Linked DNA regions of Rattus norvegicus. The protein of the gene in region 1 purifies or fractionates together with the protein of each later gene. This does not show direct contact. Links are inferred from orthologs where the notes say so. Each region holds a gene or a part of one and is shown on either strand. Other genes may lie near its edges. The genes, in order: Rtn4, Cyb5r3 and Atl3.

Region 1 (3,651 bases):
ATATTCATGGCAGGAACCCAGAATCTTAGCACTGTCTTTAACTTCTCTCCATGTCCTCCAAACAGGAAATCTCCATGCTTGATTCATTATCTGAATATTCAGAATCTCCTCTTAGAATTTCTATACTCGTCTGATGCTAGCTGTCTCTAATATATAAGTAAATACAACATAATTTCGACTAGAAAACACAGCTCACAGAATGCCAAGTTTAAAAAAAAGCATGCAAAACAAACATAGTAAATGTTGAGTCAGAAGTACAAATGACGGCTGGAGAGATGGCTCGGCGATTAAGAGCACTGGCTGCTCTTCCAGAGGATCTGAGTTCAATTCCCAGCAACCACATGGTAGCTCACAACCATCTATAAAAAGATCTGATACCCTCTTCTGGCATGTAGGTATACTTGCAGACACTCCTATACTTAAAAAATACATAAACAGATAAATGAAAAGTATAAATAGATAATCTGAGATTTTCATAAATTGGTAACATGTTTCAATAATTACTTTTCAGGAAAAAAATCTATACTTAGTATGTCTAACCTCATACCTCTCTCTAGAAAAATAATATATTATATATAAATGCCAAAAGCAAGCTACAGAAATGGTCATCCTTCACAAATTTGGCTTGAAATCATATCTAAGATAAAAATAAACACATCGAAAATATTGCTTTAATATCCCTTGCTTGTCACAGTATCAGAAAACACTGAAGAAAAAAATGCATCATGGAAGATAATCTTACTAATTTTTTTCCTGGTTCCATGATGCAATAATTACGAAAAAGCCTACAACAAAGATAAATTATTGAATAGAAGTGGGGCAGGAAGAAACAGCAGAAAACTTTTGTATTCTTGTTTTTTGCAATAACTTCATAATAATTCTACTTTGGGCTCCTGACTGTAGGTGGGACTATATTGCACTACCATACCTGGCTATAATCATTTTCCATTTTTATTATTTTTTTGTGTATGAATGTTTCACCTGCATGCGCACGTGTGTACGTGTGTGTGTGTGTGTGTGTGTGTGTGTGTGTGTGTGTGTGTGTGTGTAATATTTCTGATGTCCATAAAGGTTAAAAAAAAAAAAAGGCATCAGATCACTTAGAACTGGAGATATAGCTGGTTGTGAGAAACCATGTGGGCGCTAAGGAAGCGAACTTAGTCTTGTAGAGGGTACAAGAACAGCAAGTGCTCTTAACTACTGAGCCATCTTTCCAGTCCAAAAGAACTAAAACTGAAGATTCTCATCACGTGATACATTAGACCCCAGAAATGTTATGTCATAAAATGTTATCTGCATTCCATAGCAAGCCGAGAAGTTGGTGAGACAGTGCATAGATTATTACCTGAAGTTTTACTCAGCTCTGCTGACAATACAGCTGACAGGGATCTGTCCTCTTTCTCTGTGTCAGAAGGAAGTTTTTTCTCTGCTTCTTTCGTAAGTGATTTGGATTTAACTATGCTGCCCATTTCTGTCTGAGGTTCCAAAGCAGAGACATTTGAAGGCGATATGGATGCCTTAGATACACTGGACCTATTTTCGGAGAATTCATCTGAAACATGTACTTCATCTTTAGGATATATATTCTTGAAAGAAAGGTCACAGGGCAATTCTAAGCAAGGCAATGAATCTGCCCCGCTTTGGATATTAGCAATTTCACTTTTGTCGGATACTTCTAGATCAGTGTACTCCTTGGCTAATTTAGGAGAATCATCTTTAGCACTGACAAACGTGGGAAATTCATCTATTATCTCAATCGGAGATGAATCTGAAAATGTTTCACTTTCTTTTATTTTGTCTTCCTTAGAAGAAAGTAAGTCATCATTTGAATAAATTGCAGTATTAAACTCTTCCATTTGCAAAGAAATTTTCTCCTTTTTGGTCAATGTTGGAATGTCATTAGATGCAGCATCTTTTGTACTATGTAAATTGGGCTGAAAAGACTCTAAATATGGCTTTCCTAGCTCCTGAGGTGAGGCACTAAGTCTCTCCTCTTTGTGCTGGGCTACTGTCTCAGACACTTCAGTGAGACTCTCCTTCATGAGCATCACAGCCTCCTCTTGTGTTTGTGGGACTTCAGGAATCGAATCATCACTAAATAAGTCAACTGGTTCAGATTCAGGTGAGGAATCCTCCACTAGCTCAGCGTGTTCGGGCACCGACTTCTCGAATTTTGCTATTTCTGAATAATTAGAGAAATCTGGACTTGGCTCAGTGGAGAGCTTTGTTTCTTTAATTAAATCACACGCAATGGATATATAAGGAGCTTCTGTTTCCTGAACAGCTGCATTAAAACTTTCAGGCTCTTTTATTCCTTCCTTTGTTCCCAAAGCTTTTAGTGCTACGTTCATGGCTTCTTCATATGGTGGGGGGTTTTCAGGCTCAAGCTTTATACTGTCATAACTAAGTGGAGGAGGTGCTTCCAGTGGGGATACACTGGGCTGCACTACAGAAGCACCAGCGCTTGGAAGGAGAGAATTTAATGGTGCTTCCATAACAATATCAGGCAAAACTGGTGACGGAGTTGCTTCAGCTTCCTCAAATGATGGGCAAAGCTGTGCTGTGGGGTAAAGTGATTCTTGTATAGCTTCTGATGTTTGGACCAAGTCCACTTTTGTTTCATAAGCAATCTTTGTACCTGTGGCTTCATTCAGTTCACTTTCACATGCTTCCTGAACTAAATCTGGCGTCAGACCTTCAGGCATGTTTGACACTGCTGCCTCAGTCACCTTTGATAAGGTATCTGTTGTAACATAATCTGCCTCAGAATCCTGTACTGCTACAAGGAAAGGATTTGACGTTTTGGGGCTAGTCTTCTCTGTTATAATTTGGGCCTTCCTTTCTTCTATTTTTTTTTCATCTGTTTTATTTTCTGAAGTATGATCTTCTAACAAAGGGAAAGTGTTTGCTGTGGTGCTTTCGGTTGCTGAGGTAAAGGAAGCACAGGTAATATATGCTCTGGAGCTGTCCTTCACAGGTTCTGGGGTACTGGGGAAAGAAGCATCCTCATTTCTGCCTTCACTATCCTTCCCAAGACTTTTTTGCTCCAGGCTATCTTCCAAGCATTTTCTGTCCACTTTACTTTCCACATTAGCTCTAGCAGCCAGCACATCCCTACTTCCCTCATAAGTATCTTTCACTTCCCATGCTTGTTCAAATGGCTTAAAGTCTGCATACTCTTCCCTCACAGGTGCTACTACTGACATCTGCATTTCATTAAAAATGTCCATTGTCTTTTCTGGAGACACAACTCTGTCTTCTTTACCCACAGGTGATTCTTGTGGACTGTGAAGGGCTGCACTACAAACTAAATCCTCTTTGTCTTTACTCCTCACAATTACTTCTTCCTTAGTGTTTTCTACTAATATGGCTGACTCTCCTTTTGGGGAGCCTTTAAAAGATGATCCCATTTCTGAATATTCTAATTCTGAAAATTCTGCTAAATCTCTATTTACAAATGGATTTGTTGCCCTCTCTGGCAACTCTTTAGAAGCTTCATTTAAAGTTTCTTCAATTGTTCCTTCTGAGGATGACACTGCTGATAAGTTACCAAGGTATCCATGTTCTTTAAAAGAAACAGTTGAGAGAGGAGATAGAGAAGGAAGAGAGGCAGCAGTTTCAAGCAGGACAGATGGGAAATCCTCTTGACCA
Region 2 (3,651 bases), on another chromosome or scaffold:
CATCCTGCCTCTCTGAGGGAGTGGGAGTTTGTTTCTATCTCCCCAGGGAGAGTTCACACCACAGAGAGCAGGGACTGAACCCCTCTGTCACTTCTCCATGGCCTTGGTGGGCAGGTTGCAATATGGGGGAGGGGGATGGAGGGGCAGTGTAGGTACCTGGGAGCCACAGGGATGCTGGGCGGGGGTTGGGGGGGTGGAGCAGGGCACTCACCTCCTTGTCGATGAGCCGCAGAGGGTACTTGATGTCGGGGTTCTCGAGGGTGATGGCCGGTGAGGAGCGCTGAAACAGCTTCATGAAGAGGCTGTAGACGAACCAGACCGGGGAGAGTACCACTCGGCTCAACTGCAAGGACAGAGCGGAGCCCAGGTCAGCACAGGGTCCTGCGCCCACCTTACAGGTGACACTTCACCAGCATCCTTGGGCCTTTCCTCCTGTGACCTTTCCTCTCCAGCCTTGTCAAGTGAACTCCATTCGGCAGCTCACCAGGAGAAATGACCAAAACCAGACTCAACGACATTTGCTGCACCACTCAGTCCTCTGTGCCCAGCACCATGAGGAAGCTTCAAAAAACCTTGAACTTCTGACTCCTGCCCCCAAGTGTAGATATTACAGACCTGTGCCATGCATGGTGTGCAAGCACTCTGTGGACGGAGTCAAATCCCAGGCCCAAGTTCCAGTTCTCAGCCTGGCTCCGAATCCACCTAAGAGCCCTTCACTGGCCACGGGGCTCCAAGCGTCTATGCGCCAGTTTCCTAGGGGCCACTGATGAGCACAGGCCTGGAGCGTCTATGCGCCAGTTTCCTAGGGGCCCACACATCTCTGCGACAGTTTCCTAGGACTTCTATACTTTTTCCTCCTTGCTTCTACCCAGATCCAAGGAAACAAGCCAGTGAGGGTGGATAAGTTGAGTCACTTCCCATAAACAAAGACCCTGAGTCTGTCCCTGGACGCTGGGCTGCCTTCAGCACTGGCTGGGCACTGTTCCTCACTGGCTGAGTAGCCCTGGGCAACTGTTTTGGGAAGTTGGGCTTGGCTGAAGAAGTGAGTCACTGGATTTGGCTCCCGCCCTTTCTCTGCTCCCTGGTTAGCAGGGATGTGAACAGCCTCAGCAACAGGTCCCTACTTCCTCTACCTGACAGACGACAGACAGACAGCACAAGCAGAGATCTTTCCTTCTGGTCATTTCTGTCAGGAGCGGAGTGAGGAAGTGCTCTCATTCACTGAAGCCCATTGGTTGGTTGGCCCAGCCCCAGGGTCCCCATCCCTCAAAGCCCTGCCCTGTAGCTCTGTCTGAGCCTCTTGTCCCATCTGCAAACAGAAGGTGAGGCTCATCATGAGGTACTCTTCCCAGGGAGCAGTCAGTTAATCTGGGAGCCCTCCCCCACCCCAATCCCCAGAGGGGTGTGCAACCTGAGAAGTGGAGGGACCATCAATCAGCCAGATACACTCCTCACCCCCAAACCGGCCTTGCAGGTTCAAGCAGCCCCAGCAGCTAAGGGCCCTTTGTTGGGCCCAGAATAAACTGCCTCTTTCCCAGCCAAGGCCTTACCCCATAGGCCCCTGGTATGCTTATATGAGGACCACGTCCATTTGATGCACACCACTGTACCCAGCACCATATTAGCTCTGTCGCAAGACTCACTGAAAGACCAAGTTGACACCATGAAGTGTAAGCTCAAAAAAACCAAGGTTTGAGGCCCAGCCCAGAACTCAGAAAGGGTTCCCTAGGGCTCTGGAGACAGAGGGGGCTTCCAAAGGCCATGCACAGAGAAAACACCAGTCATATTCCCTGAGCTGGTGCTGCTCTAAGGACAAGGCCTTGTGTTCCTGGGGCCACCCCATTTCAGCTCTTGACTACAAGTGTAGCAGCTACTCCAAGCCATAGAGGGGAAACAAGATAGAGGGAATCATCCTGCCCCAACTCACACCAAAGTCCCGGGACCACATTCAAAGCACCAGATTCTCATGTGCTCTCTCAGGATAAATGGCTGGTCAAGGTGACAAAACCAAACATGAATGCAACAGTGATTTGAATTCAGGACTTCTCTGTCCCATCTTGCTGTTTCTGAGCCACCTCTGGGGACAGGTCCTACTGTGTCCCCATTAGAGTCTGCAGTCAGATACTATTCCCCCTTGGAAGTGGGGAGCATATTTCCAAGCCCAGCCTTCCAAACCATCAAGCTACTTCACCTCCAAGGTGCACAAGGATCCCACCCACCAGCCTTCAACGCATGGGATTTATGGCTTCAAAACAGACTCCACTGCCGGCTCCCTCCACAACTTCCCTAGCTTTGACCTTTGCACATTTTTTTTTCTCTCCCCACGCCCTACTTCTAGATGCATCCAACCAGTAGACATCTGTGAATCCTTCAGAACCTGAGGAGCCATGCCTAGCTAACTAGGCTCTTGGTGCCTTTTCACAGCCTTGGCGTCTCTGTAAGCTTTCTGGGCATGAAGGGCATTCTAGCGATTTTCTGCTACAGAAAATTCCATTGCAGGGAGCAAGACCTCATCCAGAAACCACCACCATTGGAAGTCTTAGGAATGAGCATCAATGACTCCAACCAACTGGGCCCATGCTCAGTGTACTCTGGTTTATCTTCCCCAGCAGGACTGTTGGAGTACCCTGTCGGGCTCACTAGCTGGAGTCCCCTGAGCCTGCAAGCTGGTTTCCCAGGGCCTGTCACACCTGGATTCGTTTCTGACCCTCCATGGTGGGTGCCTGTTGTGGTTTGAACGAGGAGCATCCCCTATAGCTTGTGGATTTGAACACCTGGTCCCCAGTACACGGTGCCGTTTAGTGAGGTCATGGAACCTTTCGGAGTACAACCTTGCTGGAGGAAGAACTTCACTGGGGACAGGCAAACTATCTCTGTTTTCCTATATGTGGCTAAGATATGATCCCTCAGCTCCCTGCTCCCCCTGCCAAGCCTTCCCTGCTCTGACAGACTCTAGTCCTCTGGAAGTATACGCTAAAACAAGCTCTTCCCTAAGTTACCTTTGGTCATAACTAATACAAAAGTCAGTGCAACTGTCTCTACACCCCCACTTAACAAAGGAGGTTTGGAAAGGCCCAACATGTAGCTGACCATCTGTGGACCAGCCTACAACCCTCATTCACCCTAAACCCACCAGTGCCAGGCCTCTGAGTGGGTCCCTAAACATAGGTAGGGTCCCCAAAACAGCCCTGGGCCCAAAATGGCCCCCCTCTCCTGTCTCTGGGTAACTTAGGGTTGCCTAGTCACCACTATGCCAGCACTTGGTGAGGGAGGTACTCTGTAAATATTTGCGGACTTACCACAAGGACAACAACACCCCTCTCTCCTGATCCCTCCTGACTCTCTGACTTCTTACATTGTGTGCAAGTTTCCAAAAACGGGGCAAAAGCCAAGATGGCTCCCTGACGAGGGAAGGGCTCAGCCTGTCCGAGTTGCCTTACAAACCTTTGGCCTAGCACAGGCTGTGGAGGGAGCCATCTGTCCCTGGCACTGGAGCATGCTCAGAAGGTACAGGTTTAATGAGCAGAACTGGCTCCTGGCAGCTCCCAAAAAGCACTGCCCTCTTACCTCAACCCTCAGGCTGCATCTGGGAGGTGCTGTCGTCATTCCCAGTTCAGGTAAGAAAACAGAGGCTTTGGTGACAAGCCTGAA
Region 3 (3,651 bases), on another chromosome or scaffold:
ACAGTCTTGCTAGATTGCTCAGGCTGGTCCCTTTCAGCATGCCTCTGCCCCCTTTGAAAAAATTAGCAGAAAATATTGTGGTAATAACTGTAATTCATCTTGAATATGCACTTATACAGTGTTGTAATTCTGTTCTGCTCTGTCACAACAGACATTAATGTTTTTGGTTCGAGACTGGAGTTTTCCTTATGAATATAACTATGGACTGCAAGGAGGAATGTCGTTTTTGGATAAGCGTTTACAGGTAAGTAGGAAATCTGAATGGTTTTCTAAAGTTAGTAACTTTCCCATTTCCTTTTGAATATTGTCTTTAAAAAATATCATTGAAAACGATACTCTGGGGTGCCGGAGAGGTGGCTCAGCGGTTAAGAGCACTGACTGATCTTCCAAAGGTTCTGAGTTCAAATCCCAGCAACCCCATGGTGGCTCACAACCATCTGTAATGAGATCTGATGCCCTCTTCTAGTGTGTCTGAAGACAGTGACAGTGTGCTTATATATAATAAATAAATTTTTTTTTTGGTTCTTTTTTTTTTTTTTTTCCGGAGCTGGGGACCAAACCCAGGGCCTTGCGCTTCCTAGGTAAGCGCTCTACCACTGAGCTAAATCCCCAGCCCCAATAAATTTTTTTAAAAAAAGAAAATGATACTCTTAAATTTTATAAATATTAGTATAAACTAGGATAATTTTTTGTTTAAAATTTTAAAAATTACATGTATTTATTTGTGTGTGTGATAGAGAAAGAGAGAAGAGTGCTTCAGTACTCATGTGATGGTCAGGGAACAATTCTTTTCCATGTGGGTCTCAGGGATTGCACTCAGGTTGGCAGACTTGATGGGCAAGTACCTTTACCTGCTTAGCAGAAAGATGGCAGTCTTTCTGGCCCTAGTATAAGTTTTTTCATGGTAAAATTGAAGAACCCCCTGGTTCTTCTATATAATATATAGACACTGTGGAGAGAAACTCTGAGCAAAAGGCCTTTGTAATTGTAATTTCCAGTTATTTTGAATCAGGTTCTATATGTGCCTTTAGACTATATTTAGGATTGTAATTCTGTTCTTACTCAATATTATTATTTTTTCTTTTTTTTCGGAGCTGGGGACCAAACGCAGGGCCTTGCGCTTGTTAGGCAAGCGCTCTACCACTGAGCTAAATCCTCAACCCCTTACTCAATATTATTTGCCTTGGCATATATATATAAACAAGCCTAGCCTGTTCCTAAAACCAAAGCACAGGAGACCTTTGTCAGTCACTGCTAACTTATTGGATCCTTCTGGCCTACAAGCTTTCTGTTCTCCTTATGTGTTGTGCAATACCTTGTGTTGTGCAATACCTTTGAAAACCAAGTCTTTAGTCTCTACTCTCTGTTAGCTATGAGAGCCTCATGCACATGTACACTTACTACTTCTTGGGGCTGTGGCTCTTCCCATTGGTCACTGTGATCTATCACTCAGGAAGTCTTCTTTCCTTTGTCCTGATGCTAGTGAAGAATACCAAATTGTCTTTGGCTTGTAAATTTGATTTTCCTTGGCAGGTGAAGGAACATCAACATGAAGAAATTCAGAACGTTCGAAATCATATTCACTCATGTTTCTCGGATGTCACCTGTTTTCTCTTACCACATCCAGGGCTCCAGGTGGCCACAAGCCCTGACTTTGATGGGAAATTGAAAGGTGTGTTACAGACGTTGCTGTTGTACATGTGATTTGATCTTTGGAATTCCATAATGAGCAGTAAGAGTCAGTGATGATGAATCAAATGGATGCCATGAGAATAAATGTGGTCTCATAGAAAGAACAGTGTTAGTATAGTTCAGATTTCCCTCCTGCCTTACTCTGACCATCAGAAGTACTTTGCCAGTTCACTAACTGAAAATGAAGTACTGTTCTTCAGGGCTCTTCCTAAGAATGTAGTTTCTGCTTTATAAGAGATCAAAATGCTAAATGAAGGAAGACTGGAATCTAAGACATCCAATATTTTTCGAGTAAAAATATCTTCTCAGGAAAAGTACCATGATGCACAACCAAGCACTATTTATGCTCGACTCCTTTGTGTTTTTACCAAAACGAGATGCTGGGTCATAGGCTAATGTCAGGAAGTTCTGCGTCAATGGTAGGTTAGAGAATCAGAGTTGGGATGCTTGGGTACCATTATCTTATTTTTGTTCCTTATTCCTGGAGGCCCTGAGTCACCTGATGGCTGTCCCACAGTTTATACTTGTTTTTTTTTTATTAAAGATTTATTCATTTATTATATATAAGTACACTGTAGCTGTCTTCAGATACACTAGAAGAGGGCTTCGGATCTCTTTACAGATGGTTGTGAGCCACCATGTGGTTGCTGGGAATTGAACTCAGGACCTCTGGAAGAGTAATCGGGTGCTCTTAACCGCTGAGCCATCTCTCCAGCCCCAGTTTATACTTGTTAAACAGTTTGTTGATAGGCTGATCTGAATCTCTTAATTTTCCCTAAAACACCGATAATAGTTGTTGTCAGCATTGCAGTCCAGTTGGGTTCCCAGTGTTGTGCAAAATGCTTTAATACTAAGCTCACAGTAATTCCATGAAGTTACATCATTTTATTTATCTCTATATCAGGAAGCTGGCAAAAATGAGGAAAGTTAAGCAACTCACTCAAAGTACTTAGCTAAAAGCAGTGGGGCAGAGGTGCACAACTGGGTACTGGTGCCTTAAAGTCTGCACCGTGGAAATAGAAGTTCATTGTTGTTTGGAGGAAGTCTTTATAGAGTATGTTCATGTTGAGTTACCAGGACAACTTGCCCTTTAAGAATAGCCTCAGTAAATATGAAATATATAATTTTCATTCTTTTTGATTTAGTTGCTCTAAGAAGAATAAATAATATTTGTTTAAGTCAATATGTACAGACATGAGGCTACAGAGATAACTCAATAGTTAAGAGTGCTCTTGGGTTCTATTCCCAGCACCCACATTAAATGGTTCACAAATATTTGTACTGTAGTTTCAGGGAATATGATGCCCTCTTCTGGCCTTCCTGGGTACTGTCATGAACATAATGCACTTGTGTGCATGCTGCCACATACATACACATAAACTGAAATGGAAACTCAGCCGTTCTTTTTTTTTTTAAGATTTATTCATTTATTATATGTAAGTACACTGTAGCTGTCTTCAGACACACCAGAAGAGGGCATTGGATCTCTTTACAGATGGTTGTGAGCCACCATGTGGTTGCTGGGAATTGAACTTAGGACCTCTGGAAGAGTAGTCGGGTGCTCTTAACCGCTGAGCCATCTCTCCAGCCCTCAGCCGTTCTTTAGGTTTATTCTATGTGTGTGAGTGTCTTGCCTGCTTGTATGTAATATAGCACGCGTGTGTGTCCTGTGTATGCTGAGCTCAGAAAAGTGTGCTGGGTGCCCTGGAACTGGCGTTATTTATTGTCATGAGCCTCATGTAGATGCTGGGAACTCAACCTGGGTCCTCTGCAGTGACAGGTATGCCTGTCTGCGGAGCCATTTTCTCTTTTTTTTTTCCCCCCAAAGATTTATTTTTTTATTTAATGCGTATGGGGTTTGCCATCTTATATGTACCATATGTATGTGCAGAGGCCAGAAAGAGGGTGTCTGATCTTCTAGAATTAGAGTTATAGATAGTTTTGAGCCATCATGTAGGT

Evidence for each region.
Region 2: the proteins of Rtn4 (region 1) and Cyb5r3 purify together in Homo sapiens (affinity purification with mass spectrometry; 3 studies listed by BioGRID and IntAct, counting the BioPlex papers as one, with this or other methods). This does not show direct contact. The link is inferred for Rattus norvegicus from reciprocal best matches to the Homo sapiens genes RTN4 and CYB5R3.
Region 3: the proteins of Rtn4 (region 1) and Atl3 purify together in Homo sapiens (affinity purification with mass spectrometry; 4 studies listed by BioGRID and IntAct, counting the BioPlex papers as one, with this or other methods). This does not show direct contact. The link is inferred for Rattus norvegicus from reciprocal best matches to the Homo sapiens genes RTN4 and ATL3.

The regions. Positions count from the first base shown.
Region 1 is NC_086032.1:107,664,526-107,668,176, reverse strand, and holds part of Rtn4 (reticulon-4), read right to left. Parts: coding exon 1,346-3,651; intron 1-1,345. UniProt on the Homo sapiens protein: Required to induce the formation and stabilization of endoplasmic reticulum (ER) tubules. They regulate membrane morphogenesis in the ER by promoting tubular ER production.
Region 2 is NC_086025.1:116,197,716-116,201,366, forward strand, and holds part of Cyb5r3 (NADH-cytochrome b5 reductase 3), read right to left. Parts: intron 344-3,651; coding exon 212-343; intron 1-211. UniProt on the Homo sapiens protein: Catalyzes the reduction of two molecules of cytochrome b5 using NADH as the electron donor.
Region 3 is NC_086019.1:214,137,574-214,141,224, forward strand, and holds part of Atl3 (atlastin-3), read left to right. Parts: intron 1-151; coding exon 152-244; intron 245-1,533; coding exon 1,534-1,672; intron 1,673-3,651. UniProt on the Homo sapiens protein: Atlastin-3 (ATL3) is a membrane-anchored GTPase that mediates the GTP-dependent fusion of endoplasmic reticulum (ER) membranes, maintaining the continuous ER network. It facilitates the formation of three-way junctions where ER tubules intersect.